Linked DNA regions of Mytilus edulis. The protein of the gene in region 2 interacts with the protein of the main gene of each other region in a biochemical or structural test. Links are inferred from orthologs where the notes say so. Each region holds a gene or a part of one and is shown on either strand. Other genes may lie near its edges. The genes, in order: protein transport protein Sec31A-like, kelch-like protein 12, programmed cell death protein 6-like and endoplasmic reticulum junction formation protein lunapark-B-like.

The links.
Region 1: of the proteins of kelch-like protein 12 (region 2) and protein transport protein Sec31A-like, one has a biochemical effect on the other in vitro, tested with the Homo sapiens proteins (3 studies listed by BioGRID, with this or other methods). The link is inferred for Mytilus edulis from reciprocal best matches to the Homo sapiens genes KLHL12 and SEC31A.
Region 3: the proteins of kelch-like protein 12 (region 2) and programmed cell death protein 6-like form a complex in vitro, tested with the Homo sapiens proteins (2 studies listed by BioGRID). The link is inferred for Mytilus edulis from reciprocal best matches to the Homo sapiens genes KLHL12 and PDCD6.
Region 4: the proteins of kelch-like protein 12 (region 2) and endoplasmic reticulum junction formation protein lunapark-B-like form a complex in vitro, tested with the Homo sapiens proteins (2 studies listed by BioGRID, with this or other methods). The link is inferred for Mytilus edulis from reciprocal best matches to the Homo sapiens genes KLHL12 and LNPK.

Annotation. Positions count from the first base shown.
Region 1 is NC_092352.1:38,682,258-38,689,135, forward strand, and holds the start of protein transport protein Sec31A-like, read right to left. Parts: upstream 3,005-6,878; 5' UTR 2,795-3,004; intron 2,102-2,794; 5' UTR 2,093-2,101; coding exon 1,980-2,092; intron 1,271-1,979; coding exon 1,181-1,270; intron 546-1,180; coding exon 356-545; intron 1-355. UniProt on the Homo sapiens protein: Component of the coat protein complex II (COPII) which promotes the formation of transport vesicles from the endoplasmic reticulum (ER).
Region 2 is NC_092344.1:86,997,571-87,005,277, forward strand, and holds the start of kelch-like protein 12, read left to right. Parts: upstream 1-4,698; 5' UTR 4,699-4,804; intron 4,805-7,707. UniProt on the Homo sapiens protein: Substrate-specific adapter of a BCR (BTB-CUL3-RBX1) E3 ubiquitin ligase complex that acts as a negative regulator of Wnt signaling pathway and ER-Golgi transport.
Region 3 is NC_092348.1:38,951,119-38,957,955, forward strand, and holds the start of programmed cell death protein 6-like, read right to left. Parts: upstream 3,012-6,837; 5' UTR 2,795-3,011; coding exon 2,688-2,794; intron 2,014-2,687; coding exon of another isoform or gene 1,952-2,013; intron 971-1,951; coding exon 909-970; intron 1-908. Other genes in the region: uncharacterized protein, read left to right, coding at 3,265-3,312, 5,882-6,072. UniProt on the Homo sapiens protein: Calcium sensor that plays a key role in processes such as endoplasmic reticulum (ER)-Golgi vesicular transport, endosomal biogenesis or membrane repair.
Region 4 is NC_092345.1:26,205,774-26,212,777, reverse strand, and holds the start of endoplasmic reticulum junction formation protein lunapark-B-like, read right to left. Parts: upstream 3,009-7,004; 5' UTR 2,861-3,008; coding exon 2,834-2,860; intron 1,360-2,833; coding exon 1,318-1,359; intron 690-1,317; coding exon 502-689; intron 1-501. UniProt on the Homo sapiens protein: Endoplasmic reticulum (ER)-shaping membrane protein that plays a role in determining ER morphology. Involved in the stabilization of nascent three-way ER tubular junctions within the ER network.

The DNA.
Region 1 (6,878 bases), on a different chromosome or scaffold from region 2:
TAATGCATTTCTTAATAATTAGTGAACATTGTCTTTGGATAATAAAAATTGTTTATTGCCTTTTATGATATAGAGTGTATAATGCCACTGTGATTTGATTCCACTATGCTAACCATGCTTTTTCGCAATAACAATAACTTGCCCAAAATGATGAACTTCCAAAATAATGATTTATTTTTAAGAAGATCTTTGGTTTCATTAAAAAAAAGTTTCTTAGACTTCACTTTAAGACCTTGACATTTTTCTTTTTGATGACTTCAATATATTGACCGTTAAATGTATTTTAGTTTCTGAGTTGTTGGGTTGCTGCCTCACTGCTTTATACCCTGTCATTGCCTTGTATTCATGATTATACCTGAAAATTGTTAAAGTCTAATGCTTTGACAGCTCCGACATGCTTGTCTTGTTTGAATAATAATTTGTCCGATCCTTTGATCATGCTGGCTCCATCATAACAAAATAGGTTGCCATTATCAGCACCTGCTACAATCACTCCGGACGATCCATCAGACATTCCATGGGAACCCCATACTACTTTATGGAATCTATGATAAATAAATAATCATTTAAAAAACAGCTACTGGGGATTCATTATTATTCGTTGGATACCAATTTTCTTGGGTTCGTGTGTACATCTGAACCATGAATTCAAATGTTCAATGAATAACAAATATTCAATGTTTTTTTGTATGCACAGATAGGCAAAACCAGGAAAAATAAATATTCCTAAAAATGCATGTTTCGCTCAATCCACGAAAAATTGATACACACAAAAATAAATGAATCCACAGTATTTGACATCCAATTACTCTATACAACTTTATGGAACTTTATGATCAGGAAAAGGTTATCATCACTTAAAAAGATAATTCATTCTTAAATTTTGTTTGTTACCAGTAACCTTAAAGCTGAAGGTATAGGAAGTGTTTCACAAGTTGGTACTTATCCATGACTATGGCTGTTATGGATAATCACAATCTAATCAGCAAAAAGACAGCAATTAGAGGTTGTTTCCTTTTTTTCTTTTAATTTGTGTTTTATGTAGTTTTGACTTCATGACAGTTCATTGTTTTCACAGTTTCAAGGGACTTCTATTATCCGAAAAGATGTCATCTGAATTTCACATTTAAAAAAAATCTTGACTGTGGGCTGTAAATATTTTAAGGCAACACATATTTACCTATGTTCTGATGGTATACTGGCCACTAATGGCATATGGAGTGACGAATCTGACAAGTCCAAATGATAGATTTCTAAGGCTGCTGTAGTACTGCAATAAAAGTAGACATAAAATCATTGCTATCAAAGTGGCAAACTTTTCTTTGTACACTTAAGAGAAAAGTGTTAACAAACACACAATTTATTAAAAATGAGTAATTTTCATTCCAAACAATTGCACTTTCTGAAAAACTCAAAAAGCTGGAGTAAAATATATAACACTCTATTTGGTCAACTGAATTTGAAGCAGTGGATGCCAAATGCTGGCTCCTGTTCCTAAAGTTCTGATTCTTATCAAAAGACCTTTCAGTACAAAAGGTTTTCATGATTATTCATTTCCTACAGTAGCACACTTTACATGTAACACAACCTCAAATGTAGTTGAACTTATAACAGACATAAGTTAATGTGAGTATATATTACTGAGCATCATGTATTTGTAGATTATAGATATAAATTTATAGATGTGTAAAATAGAGATACATATAGACGTTGAAAACTTTTGTAATTTCACCAAGTGCTTTAAAATTTTCTTACTGAAAAGACATTTCAGGATTCTCACTAGAAGATTTTGTGTACTACAATATATGCTTCAATTTTTTTTAGGTACATTTTACTTTGAACATATTTGATCTAAACATCGAAAAACCAAAGATGACTGATGAACTAACTGAAGGATTGAGGTTAAAAAAAATAGCCGATTTCATATTTATTCATTTCTAAAAATGGGTCTAAATTGGTCTAATTATACAGATTAATACCTAAATGTTGCATCCAGCTGTTGTGCAGCTGTACCTGCAACAACATAAACTGGAAACTGCTTCTCTGGTGACCAAGCCACATTGGCTGTTTTGTCTATTTCTTTTACCCTCATGTTTTGGATCTGTAAATAAAAATTACATGTGTACAATATTAATGTTAATTTGTAAATATCTTTCCCAATAGACATTTACAAGTTTGTTGCATTTCCCTCAAAAACTTTTAGTTTTAGTGAATAATAGTGTGTTTAGGGGCATTGTCACTTTCCACGTTTAAAGAGTGGTTGAAAAAATATGATGCTACATCATAGAGAACGAATTATTCACCCAATCAAATTCTTATACTTGCTCATCAGCACTGAGCTAGGGTTCCGCAGCTATGCTGTCATTAACAGATAGTGGATTTACTGAAGTGAGTAATTTATAAATCATTCATTTAAATACAAAAATATAGCAAATTAGAAAATCTGTTATTTTGTAGTTTTATCAAAATTTCAAACATTACAGGTTTAGATCTACATGTAATTATTAGTAAAATTGAAAGAACTTCACTCTGTTACACTTAACAGGACTGTTACAGGAGATGTAGCTACACTTGGAACTACAAGGAATAAGGCCCTTTATAGCATGTTTAGAAAATCCTGGGATTGCTGCTGATTTTAAGTAAGCGTCACATGTGAAAGTCATATTATTGTGCCATGAAAACAGGAAATGAAGTACACTAGTCTAGCTGGACAAGGGAAATTACAAAAAAATGAGAATTGCTTACATACATATACAAAAATGATACCGGCGACTGTCAAATAACACATTTTTACCTGATTTTTCACCCAACAGTATTTGTCTGGGATGAGATAAAATCCTTGATCAGAAGGTAATTGTATGGAAGATTTATAGTTTATGCAAATCAATTGTTAAATAACACGTTTAAACGATGAAATTGACAGTTCCACGTCTGTCTGCATACCAACGTGGCAAAGGAAGAAACAATATCCCAGCATTCCATCTACTTCCGTCATCTGGAGATTGCGATGCAAATCTGTCTCAAAATATTTATAAAAAAAACAAAAACAAAAACAACACTAATTTTCTTATACCTTGCCAAAATGAAGATTTTACTATCTATTTTTCAAATAAATGATAAAATGTAAGGGTAGCCGCAATACTTTTCAAGCTACAATACGTGCAAAATTGCAAAAATGTCCATAGAGTGTTCACGAAAAAACACATTTCTATGCATAAAAAGAAATCTATCAGATAGAATTTTAAAATAAAATATGAGTAGATAGGTTTTATGATATCCTTCAAGAACAAAAAGTATGTTAACGAACTTGTTTTCTTGCTACAAGTAAAACAGTGACATTTCCCTATCATTCCAATAATTTATTTTACGAAAAGAGTCATCTCCCCTTAAATGTTCAAGTTGAAAAAATGACCCTAAACAACACAAGTATTTAGTATTTGTTTAAAAATTTTATATAATGCAATAAATCACTAATTTTTCTGTATACAAATGAACAGCCTTACTATTTATTTGCAAATCTGTCTCCAAATTTGCAAATTTAGACAAAGAACTAGACCGATTGTGTACTGCGACTGTACAAAGCAAGATGGCGGTATATCATGACTCTACCTGAAATCTTGTGAAATAGCAGTTGACTCTGGTTTTCCAAATTGAACAGTATTAATAGGCCTTTCATTATTCTAATTATTTATTGAACAATTTCAAGAAAGTGTTTTGCCTCTTCAAAGACAATAACAATCAAAACCAAGGAGTAAACAAAGACTCACAAAACCAAAGGACATCTACATCAACAGATATAAATAATAAATAAGAAACAACACGAACTCCACTAAAAACCGGGAGTGAAATCCGGTGCTCCGGAAGGGTAAGCATTTCCTGCACCGTATACGGCACCCGTCGTGTTATTTCTTTGTTCAGTTTGGTAATGATGATTGGAAGGTTATTATGACTGAGGAAGAATATCAGATATGATTTCTGACAAACTTTTGTCATAATGGCCAAATTGTGTACAATTGGAAAAAGTATGCGCACAAAAATACCGTGAACTCCGAGGAAAATTCAAAACGGAAAGTCCCTAATCATAGGCAAAATCAAAAGGTCAAACACATCAAACGAATGGATAACAACTGTCATATTCCTGACTAGGTACAGGCATTTTCTTATGAAGAAATCTTATGAAGAAAATGGTGGATTGAACCTGTTTTTTTTAGCTCTAAACCTCTCACTTGTACGACAGTCGCATCAAATTCCTTAATATTGACAACGATTGGTGAATAAAACAAGCAGACATAATTGGTTAAAAAGGTCAAATTTTAGGGAACAGCAGTCAATATTGTCTTATAATCTTAATCCCAAATAAAAACAAAATAACATGACTTACAGATGAATTTTAATCCTGAAAAATGTAAGAGTACAATCCTTTGGAGCCACATTGGAGGCGACATAGTGTGCGCTTAGTCAGCCGAGAGCTTCAAGACAGCTCCCCAAAACTGTCTAAAGACACTCTCTATCGTCAACTAAAAGTCAGAATTGGTATCTAGCCACGATATTTGAATATCTTAGACCTTAAACAAGTTATCTTTTTTTTATTTGTCTCATCTTGATAACTGCCTAGTCACCTGTCATATTTTTTTTGCAGTAAAAATAACACCACACATATAAGTCACTAAAAAGATCAAGAGACTGAGAGCATTGACATGTAGTGTGTTTATGAATATTATAATAGCTCATATATATAAAGATCATTTGCATATGCCAATACTTTTTTAGATTATGAACATAAAGATTGCATCATACTTACAACATTTCACAAATATTCGTTTAGATATAGAAATACAGCTGACCAACCCCAGACTTAAAAACAACAAGCTTTCAGTTTGTGACAAGAATTCGGTAATCGATACATATAGAAAGTAGAACACACAAAACCATGCACAGTGCAGCTGCTAACTAGATTACAACTAATTTCAAAAAAGAGGAAATAAGGAAAGTTGTACAGACGCAATCATGCCTGATTTGTTTGGCCGTTTTTGAATTATATCTGAATCACAGATGACAACGGATAGGTTCTACTTTTCGTTATTACAATTGTCACACATTATTTTGGTACTAAAATTTATATTTCAAACTGTCTAATTATATTGATTTCTATTATGTACATTTCGTATACAGCATGCATATTTAATTTATTCAATACTAAGAATGATCTCGAAAGTCGCTATGAATTTACATGTCCGAAATATTTGTTTACATCTGAAACATGTAAGATTGTAAATTTCTATTTGTCAATAGTCTTTTAAACTTTAAGCTAATACAAACATCTTACAAGTTCGTTATGCAACTTTTATACGGTCATATCAGATACACACATAATTTAATTCACCGATAGATTGATCACCTATCGTAATTCTCTTTGATAAACGTAATCAATCTCACGGCCGACACTCGGCTAACCGAGAGATTGGTCGGTTAATCTATATTGAGTATGCGGCTATATCGGCGGTTGGTCTGTTAATCGGGTTGGCTAAAGTCTGTTAATCAGGTGTTATCGAGAAAATCATTGAAAGTTCAGCATGTTTCATTGTATAGCTTTCTAAATATATTTTCATCATAAAAAGTATTCATGTCTAACAAAACAATTCAATGTACTGAATTCAGTGGTGTAATTATTATTTTTCTAGCTTCGATGTACGATCTATAAAATGAAAAGGCGGGTTACTCATCAATACATTTATACACATTTTACACACATAAAATGTACACAAAATGACACATTGGTTAAATTTACTTGCATTCAATATTTTGAATATCGAAAAAAGAAAGGTATTATGTTTGTTAACCATATAGATATCATTGTGTGAAAAATCTACACGAAAATCTGTATTTTGGTGACATAAATCAAAATTTATTTAAAACCTGGTCTGTTAATAGGTCGGATATATAAAACCCGGTCTGTTAATTGGTCTGTTAAGAGTTATGAAAGGCAATAAAAGTATAATTTTATTGTTATATGGGGTGTTATCGGATCAAATGAGTAGGCTCAAGACGAGCGGCTAAAGTATACGAAAACAACACATGAGCAATGAAACATAACATATCTATACGGAAACAACGCATGAAATTGAAAATTGATAAAAATGGTTTCAAAAAGTGTAATATTAAAGTATTATCATATACTTAGACTAAATAACATATGATTTTTACTGTATGATAATAGCATTAAATTAACGTAAATTCCATACTTTTTTGAATTGGTGCCATGCGGCTCTTGGGTTGATATTGAACCTAGGGCTGATAATACATGCATGCGATATGAAAAATGCTATGTAATAATCTGATAATATCAATTTCATCCGAGAATGGTCGCATATATAATGTTGATTCTGTTTAATTGTCATGAATGACACAAATTTGTCATCTACATTGGTAACCAGTATATAAATTAGAGATAAACGTCGTAATGTAACTAAACATCAGTGAGTAAAATATATTGGGATGACAAAATATGAAAAATAAAGAAAGAATAATGAGTAAGACAAATAAAATGTAAAAAAAAATGACATAACAATTTAAAGAATACAGAAATAAACAATACCCCCAATCCGGACCCTCATGGTATACACGAAAATCTGGATGGAAACTCAGAATATAGAATAATATATAAGGACAGTAGAGAGTGATACATTGCTAAAAACGAGAGAAAAATAATACTTGTTTAAAAATACACACATGAAACATCGATGGCTGTTGAAACAGTAACGGATTGCGATGTACTTAAATTGGTGACAAATTCTAGAAGTTTACGTGCGGACAACTATGGTGGCAGGTTAATGCAATTTTGCGTTTTAGCGCTTTAGCGTTTTCGCCTTACATATTAT
Region 2 (7,707 bases):
GAATTATACAGGAATGACCAAATGTAAAACAATTAAAAAAGTGAAATCACAAAAAATACCGAACTCCGAGGAAAGTTCAAAACGGAAGGTCCCTACTGAGACTAATCAAATGGCAAAATCAGAAGCCCAAACCCGTCAAACTAATTGCCAACAGCTGTCATATTCCGGAATTGGTACATTCATTTTCTTAAGTAAAAAATATAGATTATTATAGCTACCTAACCTCTCACTTTTATCACCGTATAATCGCATAACATTCAACTATATTGACAACGATGTGTGAACAAAACAAACAGACATAACAACATTGAGCCTAGGTATAAATGTTTAAAATAGGGATGCAGCAGACAACATTGTGTTATTATCTTAATTAGTATAACAAAATCACTATACACACAAACAAATATGTAAACAAACATGTATCATTACACAATGACAGGAGCACATATCGAGAATATTACCAACAAAGCCAACAGAAGCCTTGGTTTCCTCTACCGAAACCTACACATCGGCTCTAAAGGCATCAAGGAGCATGCAATCTTACAAAACTCTAGTAAGGGCCTAACTAGAATACGCCACAACAGTATGGGACCCATATCATCAAAAGCATATCGACCAAATTGAACAAGTTCAAAGGAGGGATGCGCTATACGAACCCAAGCGCCACAAAAACAGATCAAGTGTCACGGACATGATTAACGAATTGGGTTGGAAAAGTCTCAAAGCACGACGTAGAGAGGCCGGTCTCGCAATGATGTATAAGATCATCAACGACAAAGTATCCATCCACAATGACATTTACCTCCAAAGACCAACTAGAATATTCAGACACGCACAAAAACATGCATACATGGTACAAACAGCAACCAAACACCCCAGGAAATTGTCTTTCTTTATGACCACCACTTATTAAAATTGAGAACGAAAATGGGGAATGTGTAAAAGAGACAACAACCCGACCATTTATCAACTAGTATGAAGGAGCAAACTGCCCTCTCGAGAGTAAACCTTCCCGGCTTAACATGTTTGGCCGGATGTCAGCCAGTGACGGGTGGGACGGAACTTTTTCTACATTGGCTAGAGGTATAGGGGAAGGGTTGATATCTCAAAAAGCATGTTTAACCCCGCCGCAATTTTGCGACTGTCCCAAGTCAGGAGCATCTGGCCTTTGTTAGTCTTGTATGATTTTTTATTTTAGTTTCTTGTGTATAATTCGGAGTTTATATATGACGTCCATTATCACTGAACTAGTATATATATTTGTTTAGGGGCCAGCTGAAGTACTCCTCCGGGTGCGGGAGTTTCTCGCTGCATTGAAGACCCATTGGTGGGCTTCGGCTGTTGTCTGTTCTATGGTCGGATTGATGTTCTTTTGGCACATTCCCCATTTCCATTCTCAATTTTATAAAAATTAGTTGAAAAATGCTTCTTAAACTCATCAGATTGATACAAATAGAAATTCATTCAACAAAAACACAGAGTGGACGTGCCAGGTATCAGAGACTTTACATCTCCGCAGGTACTCAGTATACATCCTTAGTCCAAATAATTATAACGTCTTGAAAGAATATGATATTTTTTTTTCTTTGACACCTAACATCGCAGGAAAGTGTCAAAGCAAAAATCAAAATAGCCTTGCAAGACGTCATAATTATTTGGACTTATACATCCCTACAACACTATCAACACTGAAAAAGACACTAAGTTACAAATGATAACATATCTGATTTAAAAGTACTGGCAGCCATTTTTAGCTCACCTGACGGTCAAAAGGGCCAATTAGTGAGCTTTTCTCATCACTTGGCGTCTGTCATTCGTCGTCGTCGTCGTCGTCGTCGTCGTCGTCCGTCGTCATTAACTTTTACAAAAATCTTCTCCTCTGAAACTACTGGGCCGACAAGTAAGATCCACAAATAAGTCAAAATGACCAAAATGGTATGGGAGTCTAAAATAAAAATGACAGAATTCGTTCATACTTTGCCAAAACGTAGTATCTATTGATATATGGTCAAAAATATGATAAAATTGATAGGTCACCGTGCATTTTATCAAGCTACAGGTTGTGACAAAATGACACATTGTGTATGGATTATACAGGAAAAACACAATGTTGTGATTAGAAACTAAACAAAAAGTGATAGAATTGTAAAATAAATTAGGAAAAGATAGCTTTCAGACAGTGCTTTGAGAATATTAAAAGAAAAGATAGGGTCACCGTACGTTTTTCCCGGCTAAAATACAAAATAGGAAAATTCCATGTCACTGAGATTCCTTCAGAAAATGCACTGTTTTAGAGTTGTCTCCCTCCCCTTAAAACGCCAATTTAAAAACATTTAAAAAAACAAAAATAATCGACACTTGTAAAAATATTAATATTTATAAGTTATATTCTTATGTATTGTAAATCTGTTGTTTTTTTTTACAATCCAAGATGGCGAAAGACACCCATACCACCTTACGGAGTTATTGCCCTTTATAGTCAACTTTTGACAATTTTTCGTAAATTTTTGTAATCTTTTACAACAATCTTCTCCTATGAAACTACAAAGACAAAAATTAAACTTGTCCACAATCATCATAAATGGGGTATCTTGTTTGAAAAATGTGTCCGATGACCTGGCAAGAGAACCAAGATGGCCGACATGTCTAAAATAGTACATACGGTAAAATGCAGCTTTTGGCTCAAATCTCTGAAACCAAAGCATCAAGATCTTTCTGCCTTGAAATTTTCAGACCAATCAGGCAATCTGTCGTTGGGTCGCTGCCCCTGAATTGGTAATTTTAAGAAAATTTTGCAACTTTTAGTTATTATCTTGAATATTATTATAGATAGAGATAAACTGTAAACAACAATAATGTACAGCAAAGTAAGACCTACAAATAAGTCAACATGATCAAAATGGTCAATTGATCCCTTAAGGAGTTATTGCCCTTTATTGTTAATTTTTAACAATTTTCGTAAATTATTGTAAATTTTTGTAATTTTTTACAAAATATTTTCAACTGTAACTTCTGGGCCAAGTTCATTATAGATAGAGATAATTGTAAGATACAAAGTAAGCAACAAGAATGTTCAGTATAAAATAAAATCTACAAACTCATCCCCATCACCAGGAACATATATATTAACGTTAGATTATATACTGTTCCCAGACATCACCAAAACACAATTTTGTCATGAATCCATCTGTGTCCTTTGTTTAATATGCACATATACCAAAGAGGGACGAAAGATACCAAAGGGACAGCCAAACCCATAAATCTAAAACAAAACGACAACGCCATGGCTAAAAATGAGAAAGACAAATTAAAAATAGCACACATGACACAACATAGAAAACTTAAGAATAAACAACACGAACCCCACCAAAAAACTAGGGGTGATATCAGGTGCTCCGGAAGGGTGAGCAGATCCTGCTCCACATGTGGCACCCGTCGTGTTGCTTATGTGATAACAAATTCGGTAAATAGTCTTAATTCGGTAGGTCACATTCATGAAAGGGAAGGGGATTTTAGTTACGACGTAAGGAACATATCCGATATGATTTGTGAAACGGTTATTCCATAACGGTCAACCAACTCGTGATGGCGTCAGTCAAATTTACGAAGGGATGATTTCAACTTTACCATTTGGAACTCTTGGTTTAATAGCTTCCTTGTGAGCAGCAACCCTCTATCAAGAAAATCATGATAGGAAATGCAAGCACGAGAATATTGTATCAATAAGGAGATATATACCCCGTATGCAGGTGCTGCTGAAATGTTGCTACTTAGAAATGGAAAGTTCACAATTGGAAAGCTGAAATCATCTCTTTTGTCGTAAAGTTTTGTTTTCAACCGACCCTCATTGTCAATTTCTAGATGTAAGTCAAGATATGAGGCCGACTTAACTGTATCTGTAGTATCCTTTATCTCTAGCTCGATGGGATGGATAGATGCGTTCCACATCATGACTGAGTCACCAAATTTTGAATTATTTAGTGAAAGAAGATCATCTCATGATATAGCGAAAAGTAGCGTTAAAGGATATTGCTAACTTCTTATATTTCTTCCTAAAAAGTTCCTGCATGAAGTCAGCCTCATAATAATAAAGAAATAAATCGGCAAGTAGAGAGGCACAGTTTGTTCCAATTGGAATGCCGACAGTCTGTTGAAAAACACGTCCTCCGAACGTAACAAATAAGTTGTCAATCAAGAAATCAAGCATCTTGATAATATCAGTTTCAGAGAATTTTTTCAGTTTAATGTTTAAATCAGAGTGATCCTTTACAACGGTAGGATTTATCCCTCCCTAAGACAAGATACTTGTATCTACGTTGGCCATTCTTTTTTACGAGCAAAGCAATACCAATTCTTCCAATTTGTCTCTTAGTTTGGAATGTGGAATACTAGTGTAAAGAGTAGAAAAGTCAAATGTTTTAAATTAATACTGTTACAAGATGAAACTCGGAGAGTTAGATTGTATGTACCATCTAAAAGATGTACAAAGGTGAGCGACATAGACTCTTTAGAGTCTCTCGTTTATATTCTTGTTATTCTTGATATGCGTGTTATGTTTTGTGTTTTTGGTTGCCCCCTGGATTTAATTTGGAAATGAAGTTTCAAATTATCAATAGGTTAATTTTTACATTTTGAAACAATTCGGAAACGAGATTTATCCAGAATTGGTTTTAAATTTAAACTTTTCTTGACTGGTTTACTTTTTTGCTATTCAATACAGAGACCAGATTTGGTTGCAGATTTTGCAGATTTTTCTTCTCATTTTTACCGATATATAATTCAACTGTTAAAAGATAAGACAAAGGTGTGACATTGGTGAAATTATGTGTTCGTAACCTGCTATTGTTCTCAATGTCCAGTTGAAAAAAAGAGAGGACAAGCGTGAAGAATGTCCAATAAATTTATGTTATCGGTTCTTCGTATCGTATAGTCAGAGACATATAATTGTATTATATGTCTCTTATCTGCATATAGTGTAGCCTCACTGAACACAAATTATTACGAACGATTTTTGAACTTTAATTATTTTTTTTCTTTGTAGAATACTTTTCTTGTGTGTACCATAGAATTAAAGATGTATGTATGAATGCATTTCATGTTAAATCATAACACACATAATTTTCTATTTACGTTGGGATACTTTGGTAAGATTTTCATGACCTGGTTTTAGGGGTGTAGCAAGCTCAAAATGGACGCAATTACGAACGGCACTATATTTATATATCTGGCAGAAAAAATCAATGACATAGACAATACAGTAGGCAAAGGAAACAGAACGTTGGGATTTATATGTAGAAACCTAAAAGGCTGTACAAAACCTGTAAAGGCAGCTGCGTATGTATCCATGGTAAGACCTGCAGTGGAATACGCAAGCACAATATGGGACCCAACCGCCCAAAATAAAATCAAGGCAATTGAACAGGTCCAGAAAAGAGCTGCACGATTTGTGAATAACAACTACACAGACCGAACACCTGCAAGGCTGTGTCACAAATATGGTTAAAAATCTTAAATGGGAAAGTCTAGAAGAACGGAGGAAAACAATTAGATTATGCATGCTATTTAAGATCCAGCATGATCTTATAGATATAGACCGTCACCAATATTTGACACCGAATGATAACCGGACCAGAGGTAAAAACCGCTTCTTCCAAGAAAGAACAAGTACAGACACTTACGGCCAATCTTTCTTCCCGAGGACAATCAGGGACTGGAACAACCTACCAACAACAGTTACAGCGACCAACACCATTGAGGGAATCAGAGCTGCCCTGAAGGCATGCTCTGAAAGGAAGTAGGAAAACCCAGTTGTAAATAATTTTAATTGTATATTTTTGCGAACGTTTTAAATGTATTTGTAAATATCCAAGAGAAAGCTTTCTGTGTTGCCCGACACTGCGTAAAGTTTTCGCGCGGAACCATGAATATTCAGTATTGAATCCGGTTCCTTACCTGGAAGAAGAAGAATGACAACGATCTAAATTTATGAAACATACATTAATCTTATCTTAAAAACATTTCCTAAGAAAATAAGAAGTGTACCTAATACCTAATATGGTATTTTACTTCAAATTCTTCAGCAGTAGTTGAAGACGAAATTGGTGACAAAAAATTTTCTTTGAAAAGGAAATAATTTGGATTTTTTGTTTTTATGCAATTTCTTTCGTCTAAAAAGCACTGAATTCTCTTTACAGTTATATTTTTTAGTGAACCTATGATTTTAATTTATATTTAACCTTTACTTTCGGAGTTCTCGTGACTTTTCAATAAAAATACTATTTTCTTATGACTACAATGTATGCTCAGGGTCACCTGAGTCTGAGAAAACGTTCATTTTTGGATTATTTGGGCAAGATAAAGGGTATCACACATATTAACAGATTCAGGAGATATTTTTCTATTTACATGCATATACAGTACGGGTAGGGACTTATTTTTATGGATGTCTTAATCCGTCTAGTCGGATATGAATAATCGGACATTTTTATGGTAGGTAGTATGTTCATTAAACAACAGATCCAGGTGTGAATGGTCCTTTCATCTTAATCCGTGTTGCTAAAATTACGGTTCACTGATTTCAGAATCAGATTACCTGTAATTTTAACCTCTCAGTCACAGGCACTTGTTTCTATCCATACGAAGGTCGACTATCCATATAAATAGAAGAAGGTGGCTAACGATTTTTTTTTTAGGTCACGACAGTCTCCGCTTGGGACGCTTTTTCTACCCTTCAACTTAATGCTAAAAATCCCTACCTTATATGAATCGATTCAGTGAATATTTTCCTTTAACACTAAACTAATTTCATAATCCCCACAGTGTTCCTCTTCACGGTAATCTACTCTCAATTCACTAAACCATGTCCAAAAGTTCAACTACCATCTTTCCAATGTATCTACTTCCGGTTGTGGGCAGAATGCTATCTTTTTAAAAACGAAATGATTCTGTAAAATTACCAGTTTATTATTTTCATTATCAATATATTTTTAAAGATGAAATTTCACCGAAATAAGTACATTTATTGTTGTTATTAAAAAAATCAGAAAGTCAGAAACTAATTTGAATGAATTCGATAATACTAGAGAATTCCGAATGTATATGGTAACTCTAAAGAATTTCATCGATCTTTTATTTTGGAGGTAAAAAACGTATCAGAATTAGGGGAAAGAAACTGAGTCAATGAAAACAAAATAAATTTACTGCGATGTCAACCGGAAGTAGATACATTGGAAAGATGGTAGTTGAACTTTTGGACATGGTTTAGTGAACTGAGAGTAGATTACCGTGAAGAGGAACACTGTGGGGATTATGAAATTAGTTTAGTGTTAAAGGAAAATATTCACTGAATCGATTCATATAAGGTAGGGATTTTTAGCATTAAGTTGAAGGGTAGAAAAAGCGTCCCAAGCGGAGACTGTCGTGACCTAAAAAAAATTTCGTTAGCCACCTTCTTCTATTTATATGGATAGTCGACCTTCGTATGGATAGAAACAAGTGCCTGTGCTCTCAGTCACTTTATTGATTATATTAGTTCGACATCGTATTTGACATAAAATATTTTTACAGGTGAAGTACTGGAGAAAACATTGTTTAATAAAAATAGCCAATTTTTGTTAATTATGGTTTTGATATTTCAACTGTTAATATTTATTTTCTTTGTTCCTAAAAATTATTTTTATTTTATGTTCCTTTTCGTTTGTTTTTTTT
Region 3 (6,837 bases), on a different chromosome or scaffold from region 2:
GAGTCTGCTCCTAACAATGAAATATAAGAATATAAATATGTCCATCAAATGTACAATCTGTACATTAATCCTCATTGATTAACAACATAGAAACACACCATGAAAATGAAATTTAAAGATTAATTGTCTCATAATGGATCAGCATGTTTAGTTGTTCTTTTCATATTTTAGACTTTTCTGACAAGATGAAATAGTTCTTAAAAATGTGTCTGTTAAGACTTGAATCAGATGTGTTTCTAGTTTTGCTCATTCTACAACATTTTTATATAATAATAAAACACATGTAGTTCTTTGAGAAAATTATAAGATTCATAATAACAAGAGTGCACACAGTCTCACCTTCTTTAATTGCTAATCATCAATATTATGTTGATAGTCCTAAATATAAAGCTTTATTACAACTGTCACATAAACTTAACATAAACCAAGAAAACTAAACATTTACCAATTGATGAGGAAAAATAAAATTTGATTTTGAAAGAAATTTTGGAAAAAAGCTTAGTATTGGAATTAAGTTTGAATTAAAAATGTACTATCATGACCATAGTACTAAAATAAGCCTAAAGGCAAAGCCACAAGCCAAAATGATCATTTAATGAATAGAGATATAAATAGAGTGGCATGAGTATAGTGGCTATTGACCATGTTAACTCATACAAGATGCATTCAATCTGCTTAGATTTATTTATGTTAATTTTGAATCCTGGTCAAAAATGAAAAGTTGAAAATTATCATTTAAAGAATTGATGATCAATTGTAATTATGTTTTTAAAGAAATGATTTTATTATTCATCTAACAATTCTAATTTAAAAAGGCTTATGTTAAAGAACATTTGAAGAACAATGACTATGAATTCATCATGTTTATAATACACATTTCCTTATATTTCCTGTCACACAGAGCTTACCATTAGAGAGAGCTTGTTGAAGCTCATTTCCTGATATTGAGCCACTTCTGTCTTTATCTATCCTAATAAAAGGATAAAAAAAATCCTATTTAACATGTTTAATAACCAGCTTTACCAATCTTCCTATTAAAAAACCCAGGTTTATCATTACTTAGTACAGAAGCAGGACAGATTTTGCATGACAAGCAAATTCATTTGGAAAAAATCAAATGTTTCAAACAGAGCTGTGAAAATCATGCAAAATATTTTGAAAAAATTGCAAATATATATGTCTCCATTCAAAAAAATCAACGATAAACAAGCTAAAATTTTGGTAAGCACTATATTGGTAAAATTTGGTGCAACAAAAATCTTTTCAAATAAAACACAGCTGTTTGAAAAATGATGTTTTACTTCCATGAAAAACCTGCCCAAAAACATAGGAAAGCTACAACTGTACATGTACATTTTACATGCAAAAATTCATAATTTGCAGTTAACAATATATCTAAAGCTGTCAGTGGTCTAATTCTCAGAAAACTGATCTAATATAGAACATGCAGTGTTTTCCCTAGAGGGTTTATGCATGGTGGTACGTACCCCCATGCATTAATTTAGGCCCCCATCCTTCAAATCTTGAAATTCTTTATTACTCAGTCTCTATACAAGTCCCCATCCTTCAAAATTCATGCCCACCATCCATTCAGCCAATCCCACCATCCTTCAAAACATGTCTAGGGAAAACACTGACATGCACAAAGTAACAAACTTTTATGTGTCTATACAATATCTAAAATATCCAATTCAGGAACTGGAGAACAAAACCATCAGAAAATGTTTACAACTTTTCTTTTCAAAAGATTTTTATTGAATTTTTTATTCATATCACTGTATCCATTTAACAAAAAATATATTTTGACAGGGGGAATAATTAACAAGATATGAGAATGAGTTCTGACAGCTTTTTTTAGACCTGTTTAACTGCAAATTATGAAACAGACTTCACTGGGCTACATTAGGGCAGCTAGTGCAATCACAAGGTTGGACATAGACCAACCACTTACCATTGGACAGAGCACCGCTAAGTTCATTAGCACTAATTTGACCACTTTTGTCTTTATCAACTCTAAAACAAATAAAATAATCATTCATTTAATATGTTAATGGGATTTGTTTTACAACTATGACAACTACAATCTAACTGACAATGGCCGTAGCATGCATTACATTGTATATAGCTTTCCTTTCCTTGACTTTGTATTTAGTTATCACTTTTTTCCATTCTTTACATCGTTCTCTCGCTTGAGAGCTTATGCCAGAAATCTTAAGTAATTTGTGCTTCCTTGATAGAAGACGTCATCATGGTCACACATGTAGTTACTTGGACTAAAAGGCAGTCAAAAACACTCTATGACCAGGTGACTATACACCTTATCGCTATTTGTCCGACATTACTGGATATCACACAGGTTCCCGTAAAATTTTGATGTCACAAAACAAATATCAGACGCCACAATGGAAAAGTGATTATTGTATGCGTCAAAAGTTCAAGCGGCCGGGTCAGCCGGTATTAGCAATAAGGTGTATGGACAAATAATCCACAAAACTCAAAAGAATAAAGGACTAGACATATAACACGGTTTTAACAGACATTCAGACATTCCTGTCGTTTTCAAGAAAATGAATAAGTTTGAGTTTAATGAAGATATTTCGTAATACAAAAGTTGAGTCACTCAAAAATTATTTGTGACACTGCATAGTTTGATTTGAAAATTATCAGTTATAAATATCTAAAATAACCTTTGAAAGACGCCCCATAGAAAATTAGGATCATTCTGTGAAGGTTGAGCACCAGGTTGGTTATAGTATCCTGCAGGAGGCTGCTGTTGTTGACCGTAATAAGCCATTCCCAAAATATTTTACAGATTTTTCTTGTTCCGTATTTGATTTTGGTCAGTGTTAAATTATTTTTCCTTTTAGTAAGCTGATATTGTCTTTTGGTAAACACATTATTGACTACGATAATTAAACTTCGAGCTTTTGTAGATCTTCGCACATTGTAATTAAAAACCTGGAGAATACCGAATGCATAGCGCTGATGTAAACAACATGGCGTCTAATCTATGTAGAAATATGTGAACTGTCTGGACGAACAACATAACAGATAAAGTCTAAAAATCAGAGAGTAAACAAAGCATTTATTTTGAACCTATGTAGAAGAGTAATTCGTATGTCTTAAATTTTTGAAAAAGGTACGAGTTGAACTCCAAATATTAGTCGTGGAGTGCACTTCTTACATTTCCTTGGAAAATTATCATGTCACATGTGATTCTCACTGTGAACTATCTGTACTCGTATTTCTCACTGTCGCGCGAAGATGTCTGGACTGTGTATTTTGGGGTCATCAAGAATTGTGTTTTTAAGGGTATACACACCTTGTAAAATTTAAAGATGAAATAGTTTTCAAAAAATTGTGCAATGATTATGAAGTTTTACTTGAACAAAATTACCCTACATTACATGTCTTCCTTCAACAGTGCTATACATGCATTTTATATATGCCAGTGTAACAAGATTCATAAGTACTTTAGGACATGACAATTTTGTTAGCCCTCCCCCTTTTCCCCCAAACCCTTTTCTTATCCACCATTTTGTCCACAGGCACTTGTTTCTATCCATGGCAGTGGAGGATCCAGAACTTTTCATAGGGGGGGGGGGGGGGGGGCGCTGACTGACCTAAGAGGGGGCCTACTCCAGTCATGCTTCAGTGATTCCCTATATAATCAACCAAAATTTTCCCACGAAAGGGGGGGCCTCCCCTGGATCCGCCTATGCATGGGAAGATTCAATATCGAAAGAGCATCGACATATATTTCTTCCCATGGATAGAAACAAGTGCCTGTTATTTTATTTGTTCTATCCTTATTTTCTCATCATTACAGTGGAGGCAGTCAGGGGTACAACTTATTCAAGTAATTTTTATTTACTTGAAGAAGTAAAAAAAATATACACATATAAGTAAATTTGTAGGATACTTATACAAGTGAATTTTATTTACTTGTATAGATAAAAAAAAATCTTGGCTGAGTTATGTCCCTTAGACATTCAGATTTTCTGATAAGACGCGACTCGATCCCACTCTCCAGTTCCCTTATTATATGGTCTATGAACGCAAAAAATAATGAGACTTTCCAATACTGTTTTGGCGTGATTGCAGGGTGATTTGCTCTGGTAGTCTGTCGACCACATCGCCTCAGCATATTTTTAATGATATTGAAGGGTTCTGATACTTCTAATGCCGATTCGTACATCTCATTCCGAACTTATGAACCGTACACTGTAAAATGTGCTCAAAAACTACATGTCTTAGACTGAGTATTACAAATTCAAATCTTGTTAAAGATACAAGTTAATGTCCGATTTTGTCATAATCTCTATTTTGAAACCAAATGCCGTTTTTTAATGATTTTCATCAATTAAAAAAAAGTGACAACATAGGTGTTTCCTTTAACATGCCAAATCGATGTGCACGCAACTGCGTGTTAGCGTATAGGGAGCTATGTGCCTGAATACCCAAGACATATGTTTATGACACAGAAAATGTTCAACTACATGTGCAATGAAATGTAGGATTAATTACCTACAACTGTCAAATTCATGGGAATATTTTTTTTAACCTATTTTAGTATACAACTGGATGTGACGTACCATGATTTAGAGGTATTACACTTTTAAAGTGAATTTAATTTTTATTATCCTCATGACTGCAAATCAACAACACTTCATCTGTTCCTGAGGAGTTGGTATTTTTTATAATACCACTTGTCCATTAATTTATCAACAACAATATTGGACTATAACTTGTGCTTTTTCTGTTATTTTTTTTTGCACTATCATTTGTCTGATTTTCTTTTTTTTTTAGCCATGACGTTGTCAGTTTATTTTTGACTTTTAGGTTTGAATGTCGCTCTTGTACTTTCGCTTATCTTTAAATTGTAAATTAAACAATTATAGTTAAGTTTCAAATACAGAGTAATAAAATTAATTCAAATGTACATCTCATACCAATCATGTTTGCATAGAAGTCTTGATTAACAAACAAAGGTGAGTTTTTACGGCTTGTGATGAGTTAATTATTTTAAATCCCTGAAAGTGTTGATTCGTGTACAAATACCGTTAAAAATGTCTCTAATCAGTTGCGTAGAGTTCACTGCAGGTGAAATTGATTTTCTTCTTGTTTAGAAATATGATTTGGTTTACAACTTCAAACCAAAGACTGTTTGACTTTCTATTTTTTAATACGAGTAGTGCACATGAAAACATTCCCTCGGAATCACAGGACGTTGCTGGTACTACTATAACAAACAGTAGCAACAGGATAACCATATTTATGAAATGTTAATTGATTTTATTTAGTATTACGAAGGGGATACATGTAGTTCAACGGAACTAAAGTGAGTGGATATGTGAAGAGAAATATCTCAAGACTTATAACAGACAAACGAGTATCCAAGCACTAAAACTGTACTTGAGTACTCTGCCTTCCGAGCGAGTACCTAAGTATTCGAGTACTCGTTGCCATCCCTAATATTTAAACTTATGATCTTTCAACTCGAACTATCAGTCAGTTTGAATTGTATGTACGTGTATGCTGATAAGTCAAAGCTAGTTAATAAAGTGAGTACAAAAAGAGATCTTCATCCAGCTCTTTACAAATTAAACCTCACCTTAAGTACTGTAAAAAGACTCATAAGTGATGAATATACAAGATATATTAAATTTTATAACCTTCTTATCTTATGAATTATTTTTAATTAATTGCACTTTTGCTCAGTAGTGTAGATACAGCTCATTAATGGCATGCTTGTATTTTTATCTGCAGACTGCAAACTGCTTTGAAGAAAGTTGGTTCACTTGCATAAATGCTTTATTCTACATGTACATATATATATAAGAAAAATGCTTGTAATTCAATCATTTTATTTTTATCAAAGGACTTCAAAAAGAAAATAATGCAGGCCAAAGGAATCCATGTGGAGCCTCTTTTTAGTTCTCCTGGTAATCCACACAACACAACAGCATTACTGGATACCATTACTAAACTCAAACAGGATGTAAAACTTTGTCAACATGAAAAGAATGCAGCCATAGAACAGCTTAATTGTTTGATATCACTAATAAAGAGGTATTCACTGTCAATATGAAGAGTTATCAAGGGAACACACAAAAAAGCATGTATAAATAAGAGACTTAAGAATTGGGGGCTTTATTTTTTAATTTTTTTAATTTTTAGACCATTTTTATCATTTTTGTTTTTTTTGGTCCTCATTATTCCTTTTGTTTCAAATATTCAAAATATTAAGAAAAATAAACATCACTTTTCAATATATATATACTGTATTCATGGTATTTGAAAATTTACAAATATAATATCAGACTATTACAATACAGTGGTTCAGAAAACTTCTTCTAGTTCACCTTAGCTTCTGTTTTTATTAAGATTTATTATAAAGGTTTATAAAATCTTACAATTAAATTCTGCTGTATTTTGACTTATAGCTTTCGCCACATTACTCAGACTCTCAATTTAGTCAATTAATGTATGAAGTACGTCTGTTTTATTTGGTTGCTGTTACATTTTTTTGAATCCACATTTCTTTTTTAATAAGGTTCATGTAAAATTTATAGAATATATGCTGACAATTTCTACATTAACTCTGGCAATGATAATTACTAGATTTTGTACACTTTCATAAGGATTCAACATATAACTAGTACATGTAGTAGCTATATAAGATATGATAAGATAATATTTATTTTATTATACATGTATATATAGTTAAGTTCAGAATAAAGTCTAATGATGTCTTCTCTAAAAAAAATGTACTTATGATTTTAGTCTGGTATTAAAGATATTATCTATTAACAGTCAGGGGCGTAACTTTTTTTA
Region 4 (7,004 bases), on a different chromosome or scaffold from region 2:
TCACAGTATACATGTATACCCTGTCTGAGACCTGAATAACATATAATGTAATAATTGCTGCTCATCGCTACATTGAAGACCTGTTGGTGACCCTCTGCTGTTGTTTTTTATTTGGTCGGGTTGTTGTCTCTTTGACACATTCCCCATTTCCATTCTCAATTTTATTAATATTTATACTATATGGTTATATATCATGCATGTCATAGTACATGTACATATAAAGCATTTTGATAAAAAAAAACAAAAAAACAACATTTGAATGCATGTATACCTAATATTAAATAACAAGTCCTCATCACAAAAATCAAAAAATATTATCAAAATTTCTCCAATCACTAGACAAAGTTCTAAGCTTTCTGTTTGAATAAGCTAAGAATCAAATAATGTTTCCAATTTTTATTGCGCATTGAAAGCTTCATTTGATTTACATACATGTACAGTTCTTGTTAATTTGAAGCTACATGTACGAGTTACTTCGTCTTATTCTAAACATATACTTACAAAATTGGAAATATTAGCAGAGGTGATGAATATATCAGCCTTTTTGTCCATGTGGGTGGTAGGTAGTAGAAGTAGAAAATCAGAGCTGCACCAATATACATCAAAATAGAATACAGTATCAAACGTCCAATAAACTTCTTTTGTCTCTCTTGGTTCTGTCGGCGAAACTGCTGCAAACTGCTAATTTGCTGTAATGAATTTACAACATTAAAATTAAATATTGATCCAAGCAAGTTTAAAAGAATTATGTGCAGAAACAAAGCAATTTCTTACACATTCAACAAAACCGTAGGATTCACCATAAAAACCACAGAAGAATTTTCAATCATGTCAATGGGAAATCATTTCTTAATTTTAGTAATTTTTATAATACAATTTAAAAATATGTGTATGGCTGTATGTTCTTATATCATGTATAAATATCATAAACATTACATGCATTCGTGAATGTGTTGTTCGGTCACTCGATTAATATTTTTCTCTATTTGAATTCTTTGATTAGATATACATGTAAATGCTTTAAATAAACCTCATAAAATAAACACTTCATACACAGACCACTTTTGGGGTTTTACTCTATTGCAAGGTTGCTTTCTAATTTATTGATGCATGAATACCCAATAAGCTTTATTTAAGTAATATAAAGTTCTTGAACATCTTCACTTTTGCATGTGTCTAAAGACATGAAAGATATTGGTCATTTGTATGGCGAGACAATAATAATAAAATCACATAGCAATTTTGACAGTTTCATCTTCCATCAGTAAGAATCGATATGACAGTTATGTTCATACATGTAGTAGACATAATATTTACCTTGTCAATATCATCTAATATCTCAATGGTAGATTTCTTCTTCTACAAGAAAAAAAAAAACAGTTTAGTCTTGTACCCAAATAATATGCCCAAATAATATGCATCTTTAAAGTATCTAAATACTAACTATCCACCCCTTCTTCAAATAATCTTCATTTTGATCCTGCAAACTTGTATCTAACCTTATTGTTTTCTATGTACAATGATGTATGTAATAATTGCTGCTCATTGTTAATATTTCTACTATAATATGGTTATATATCATACATGTCATAGTACATGTACATATAAAGCATTTTGGACATTATTTGTGCAAGTCTTTTAATGTTTTTTTTATAGTAGACATGTACTATATGCCATCTCAAAGTAATGTTAGCAGAAATAGCTTAGACCTGTGTTTTGGAATGTGTCATCACTTTGATTTATATAAGATCTCAGACATTTGACTTAATTCTGAAAAATGAAGGAATGTTTGATTATTTTTAACTAAGGGATCAGACAACGGATATTAATGTTGAAGGCAAAAGGATCAATACTAAAAGTTTGATAGCACAGGGCTAGATACTGCAGCATGAAAACGGCCTTGGGAGTAAACTGTCTAATACTCAAATTATATTTTGCAGTGTGAAAAACTAGGAACAGTTAATAGTGCCATTAGTGGTGCCTTTGCTCATAATCTGTTAAATGATGACTGTGAAATCATAACCAGTGGAAATAACCATTTTTTGACTCACAGTAAGGACAACTTTTTCAAAATCCAATCTTTTAAATACAAATTAAATGCATGTATCTAAACATGTATATAACAGTATAAACTCGCTGGATACACATGTGACAACAATTATCACAAGAAACATTCTAAAACGTTTGTTCTTCAGTGTCCTACATTTAGTTGCAGAAAGTTTTTAAAAAGATTACCTGTAGCTCAAACAAAGGTGAAAATCAAGACATATAGCAGTGTCTCTAATGTTACCATACTCCTGTTTAAGATTGAGATTTCCACCTGCATATTGGCAGATTTTCAATACAAACATTGTGTAGCGCAGAGTATTATTTGGTTTCAAATTCATGTTAAAAAAGAGAGGCGAAAGATACCAGAGGGACAGTCAAACTCATATAGATCGAAAATAAACTGACAACGCCATGGCTAAAAAATAAAAACAGACAAATAATAGTACAAAAGAAAAATCATAGAAAACTAAAGACTAAGCAACACCTACCCCACCAAACTTCACTAAAACTTCCTTAATCTGTTGATACTTAGCCCAATACCAATAAACCCCCCTTTTATCTTTCTGTCCAACACCGAATACCCTAAAGTGAATCAATCTATAGTTATTCTATATAAGTATTGAAATGTGGCCAACTGAAAAACATCACACATTAAATAAGTAATGTTGGATGATATCATTTCGCTAAAATTTCAAAATAGATGAAAAAGGAGTAACAAAATTGTGACAGATTGTTCATTTTCTAGAGTTTTCTTTGATTTTAAGGAAAAGACGACACTACATACTCTGAATCTGGAAAGAAGGACACCCATTGTAAAGTCCTTAATTACAATTTATGTCTGTGTTATTCAAGTTGTCATTTATCTATACGAAATTATTGGTCCAACACACTGCACATTTCCCGTTTTCAATTTTGTGGTGTTGACGTGCTGCCCTCTGTGAGGAAACGGAAGCAGTGACAAATTGTAACATTTTGATTGGTTAATATGAGATAATGAATAACAATTAGCCATGTGGTTTTGTTTACACTTTCCAAAGTGTCGTATCTTACATTTGATTTACCGGGACCTGTGTAGATTTGTTTCTGCCAGGACAAACAATTTAAACAAAAAAGACAAATGCGTTGATTATTCCCCTTTCGTTTAGATAATATTACCTGCAGATATAATCGAGTGATATAATCAGATAATTAATATCAGACATGTGAGTGTAGACATGATTAATGCATGGATATTTGGTATTATAGAATTGGCAAATTATCATGCATCATAGAGACATATATACTACACATATCTATGAATACATCAGCAATTCACTGAAGGAACTTTTTTCTCGGTTTAATAATGGTTCGATGTTTTACATATCAATTTAGTATCATATACATTGTACCTGTCATGTCACTATTATTACAAATAACTGAGACTACTATAACACATAGTATTATAGTAGTCTCAGCATCTAATATCTATAAAGCAAAGCAGGATAAAGAATTCAGTTTGATTCATAAATTGGTAAAAATCTTTCTTTTTTTACAACAACAACAAGAAAAGAGATTAATTCAGTTGAGGTACTAGATTACACATACAGGAATTTACTAATAAATGGTATTTTACTTCAATATTCGGAGGTATTAAGAAATGAGTATGATTGCCATACTTATATGATCTTGTTGCATGAAACTATACTACTTAATTACAACGTACAGCCACCAATATAAGAATAATATGATGTTGTACAGTGTACTTCAATCTTGCCTTCAGTAACTGCTAGCATTCGTTGATACAGTATTGTTTGTTATTGTTTTCAATTTGTATATGCTTGTCAACTTGTGTTATTGTTTTGTCTATCATATCGTTATCTAGAGTTGGGTGTTTTTTCTATACTAATCGTTATTGTAAACTATGTTCTTTTAGTAGTTTCTGAAATGAAGATCTTTGAAACAGAAATTCAAATTATAATAACTCTTTAATAAATCAATATACTAGATAATATAAACATGTTGGGTGTATTTTAGTCTTAAAATTAATGCCGTCTAATTAACTATCGAGATGACCTCCTAAAACTACCAACGGACACATTACATGCATGGTATAATCATTAACATAGATATAAAAAGATAACAACATCGTGCAATTGACTTTTTTCATGTCTGTTTGATTTCATATTATTATGAGAAAAAATAATAAATTTTCGATTTTACCTGTATCAGAACGTTTTTTTGTGGAACGAATCAGTTAATCAAATAATTTACCTTTGTTTCACTTTCAGTGTTTACATTCTTTCTTTTAATAATTTGACACGCATTATTCATGTGTAATCCATCTTTAGCGAAGGGGTTAAACTGAAGTTCACATGAATACGGATTTCATGAAGTGGAATTATTCACTTGCAAGTGAAAAATTCATAATCGATGTTTCTTAGCTTATTTTGAAAAAAATGAACCATACTTGCTGCTAAAAGCGTATTTTTATTATTTCACTATTTCACTTTCATTAATGATTGAACAAAAAATCATAATGTATTATTTTTTTATCTCTTTCGTGGCTAGTTTCTCTTTAAAACTAAAATAATTGATCTATTAACCAATCGATGAATTACTAGTGGTACTTCTCTCATTGGAGCATATGCTCAAGCTTATCAAGTTTTGTGAAGGTTAGACAAATCGATCAATAAATACCATTTGTAAACCAAATTTGCGGCTCAATTTTAGTGTATCAATTGCGGCCTCAAAATCGAGAGGAGTTGTTATCATCTCATGGAGCATTATCTAATCAAATTTAGAAAATGTTTCTCATAATTATGATTTTAAAGATAATATCTGGATAGCAAATTTTAGCAGAAATATTAGTGTAACAAAAAGTCAATAGGAGTCGTTTCCTTCCCACAAGTCATTAACAAACCAAGTATGCTAAAAGTTGGATGTAGGCTTAAGGGTTACAAATGTACAACTGGAAACCAAACTTTTAGTCAATCAATACCTTGTGTGAAACTGACCTTATAAATATCGAACATAAAATCAAAAGGCTTCGTCTCCTTCTATAGCCTTTAACAATTAATTTTGGTAAAAGCTTGACATATGGTACACAAGGTCAATGTACAGCAAACTTAAGGTCTAAGGTCAGTCTAATTAAAACACAGAACTCTGATTCCGCTCTACTGTCTAAAACACAGAACTCTGATTCCGCTATACTCCTATCTAAAACACAGAACTCTGATTCCGCTATACTCCTATCTAAAACACAGAACTCTGATTCCGCTATACTCCCATTTACAACACATACCTCTGATTTCGTTACACTCCATATGAGTATAACTAAATCAGAAACCCATGTTTTAATCAGACTGGGTTGAAGGTCACAGTACGGGGTGACTGTGGCAAAACATTTTCTAAAAAATCTAAAAGCCTGAAAAGTTATTTGTCATTGCACATAAACGACACAAAGTGCCATTTTGTAGTCTATCATTGCCCATAATCCGTGTACAGAAAATGTCTAAGTCGTCAAAAAATATCAAGAAAAAAATAACAGTGGTCTTCGAGTCCTGATTAACAGAGCCATACAACGTTTTAATAAAACATTTGTTGTCTTGTGACTGTAAATGTTGTTATACGGTATCTGTTTCCCATCTGCTGTTTTCTTTGTTTTAAAATATGTTTTTAAATCATTTTCTTATCTGTTGTTTATTAAGTTTCTCATCTGTTGTTCCATCAGTTCTCATCTATTATTTCATAAGGTTTAAACCCATTGTTACATCATTCATTTGCTGTTTTATCAGTTTGCATCTACAGTTTCGTTTATTTCGCATCTGTTGTTTCGTATGTTTCATCAATTTCTTATTTGATGTGTTTTCCATATGTTGTGTTACATCAGTGTGTCATCTGTTGTAACATCAGTGTGTCATCTGTTGTAACATCAGTGTGTCATCTGTTGTAACATCAGTGTTTCATCTGTTGTAACATCAGTGTGTCATCTGTTGTTACGTCAGTGTGTCATCTGTTGTTACTTCAGTTTGTCATCTGTTGTAACGTCAGTGTGTTATTTGTGGTTACATCAGTGTGTCATCTGTTGTTACATTAGTTTGTCATATGTTGTTTTATTTGTTTTACGTCTGTTGTTAATTTGTTACACCAGTTTCTCATCTGTTTGATTTATTTCTCCCCTGTTGTTTCATTAGTTTTATATCTGTTGTTACATCAGATTCTCGTCTGTAGTTTCAATTATTTCTGTTTATCATCTGTTGTTACAATTGTTTCTGTTTCTCATCTGTAGTATTAATTGTTTCTCGTCTGCAGTTTCAATTGTTTCTCGTCTGTAGTTTCAATTGTTTCTCGTCAGTAGTTTCAATTGTTTCTAATCTGTTGTTTCAATTGTTTCTCGCTTGTAGTTTCAATTGTTTCTCGTCTGTAGTTTCAATTTTTTCTCATCTGTAGTTACAATTGTTTCTCATCTGTTGTTACAATTGTTTCTCGTCTGTTGTTTCAATTGTTTCTCATCTGTAGTTACAATTGTTTCTCATCTGTTGTTACAATTGTTTCTGTTTCTCATCTGTAGTTACAATTGTTTCTCGTCTGTAGTTTCAATTGTTTCTCATCTGAAGTTACAATTGTTTCTCGTTTGTAGTTTCAATTGTTTCTCATCTGTAGTTTCAATTGTTTCTCATCTGTAGTTACAATTGTTTCTCATCTGTAGTTACAATTGTTTCTCGTCTGTAGTTTCAATTGTTTCTCATCTGTAGTTATAATTGTTTCTCGTTTGTAGTTTCAATTGTTTCTGATTGTTTCTCATCGGTAGTTACAATTGGTTCTCATCTGTAGTTTCAATTGTTTTTATCTGTAGTTTCAATTGTTTCTCATCTGTAGTTTCAATTGTTTTTATCTGTAGTTTCAATTGTTTCTCATCTGTAGTTACAATTGTTTCTAATCTGTAGTTACAATGGTTTCTCGTCTGTAGTTTCAAT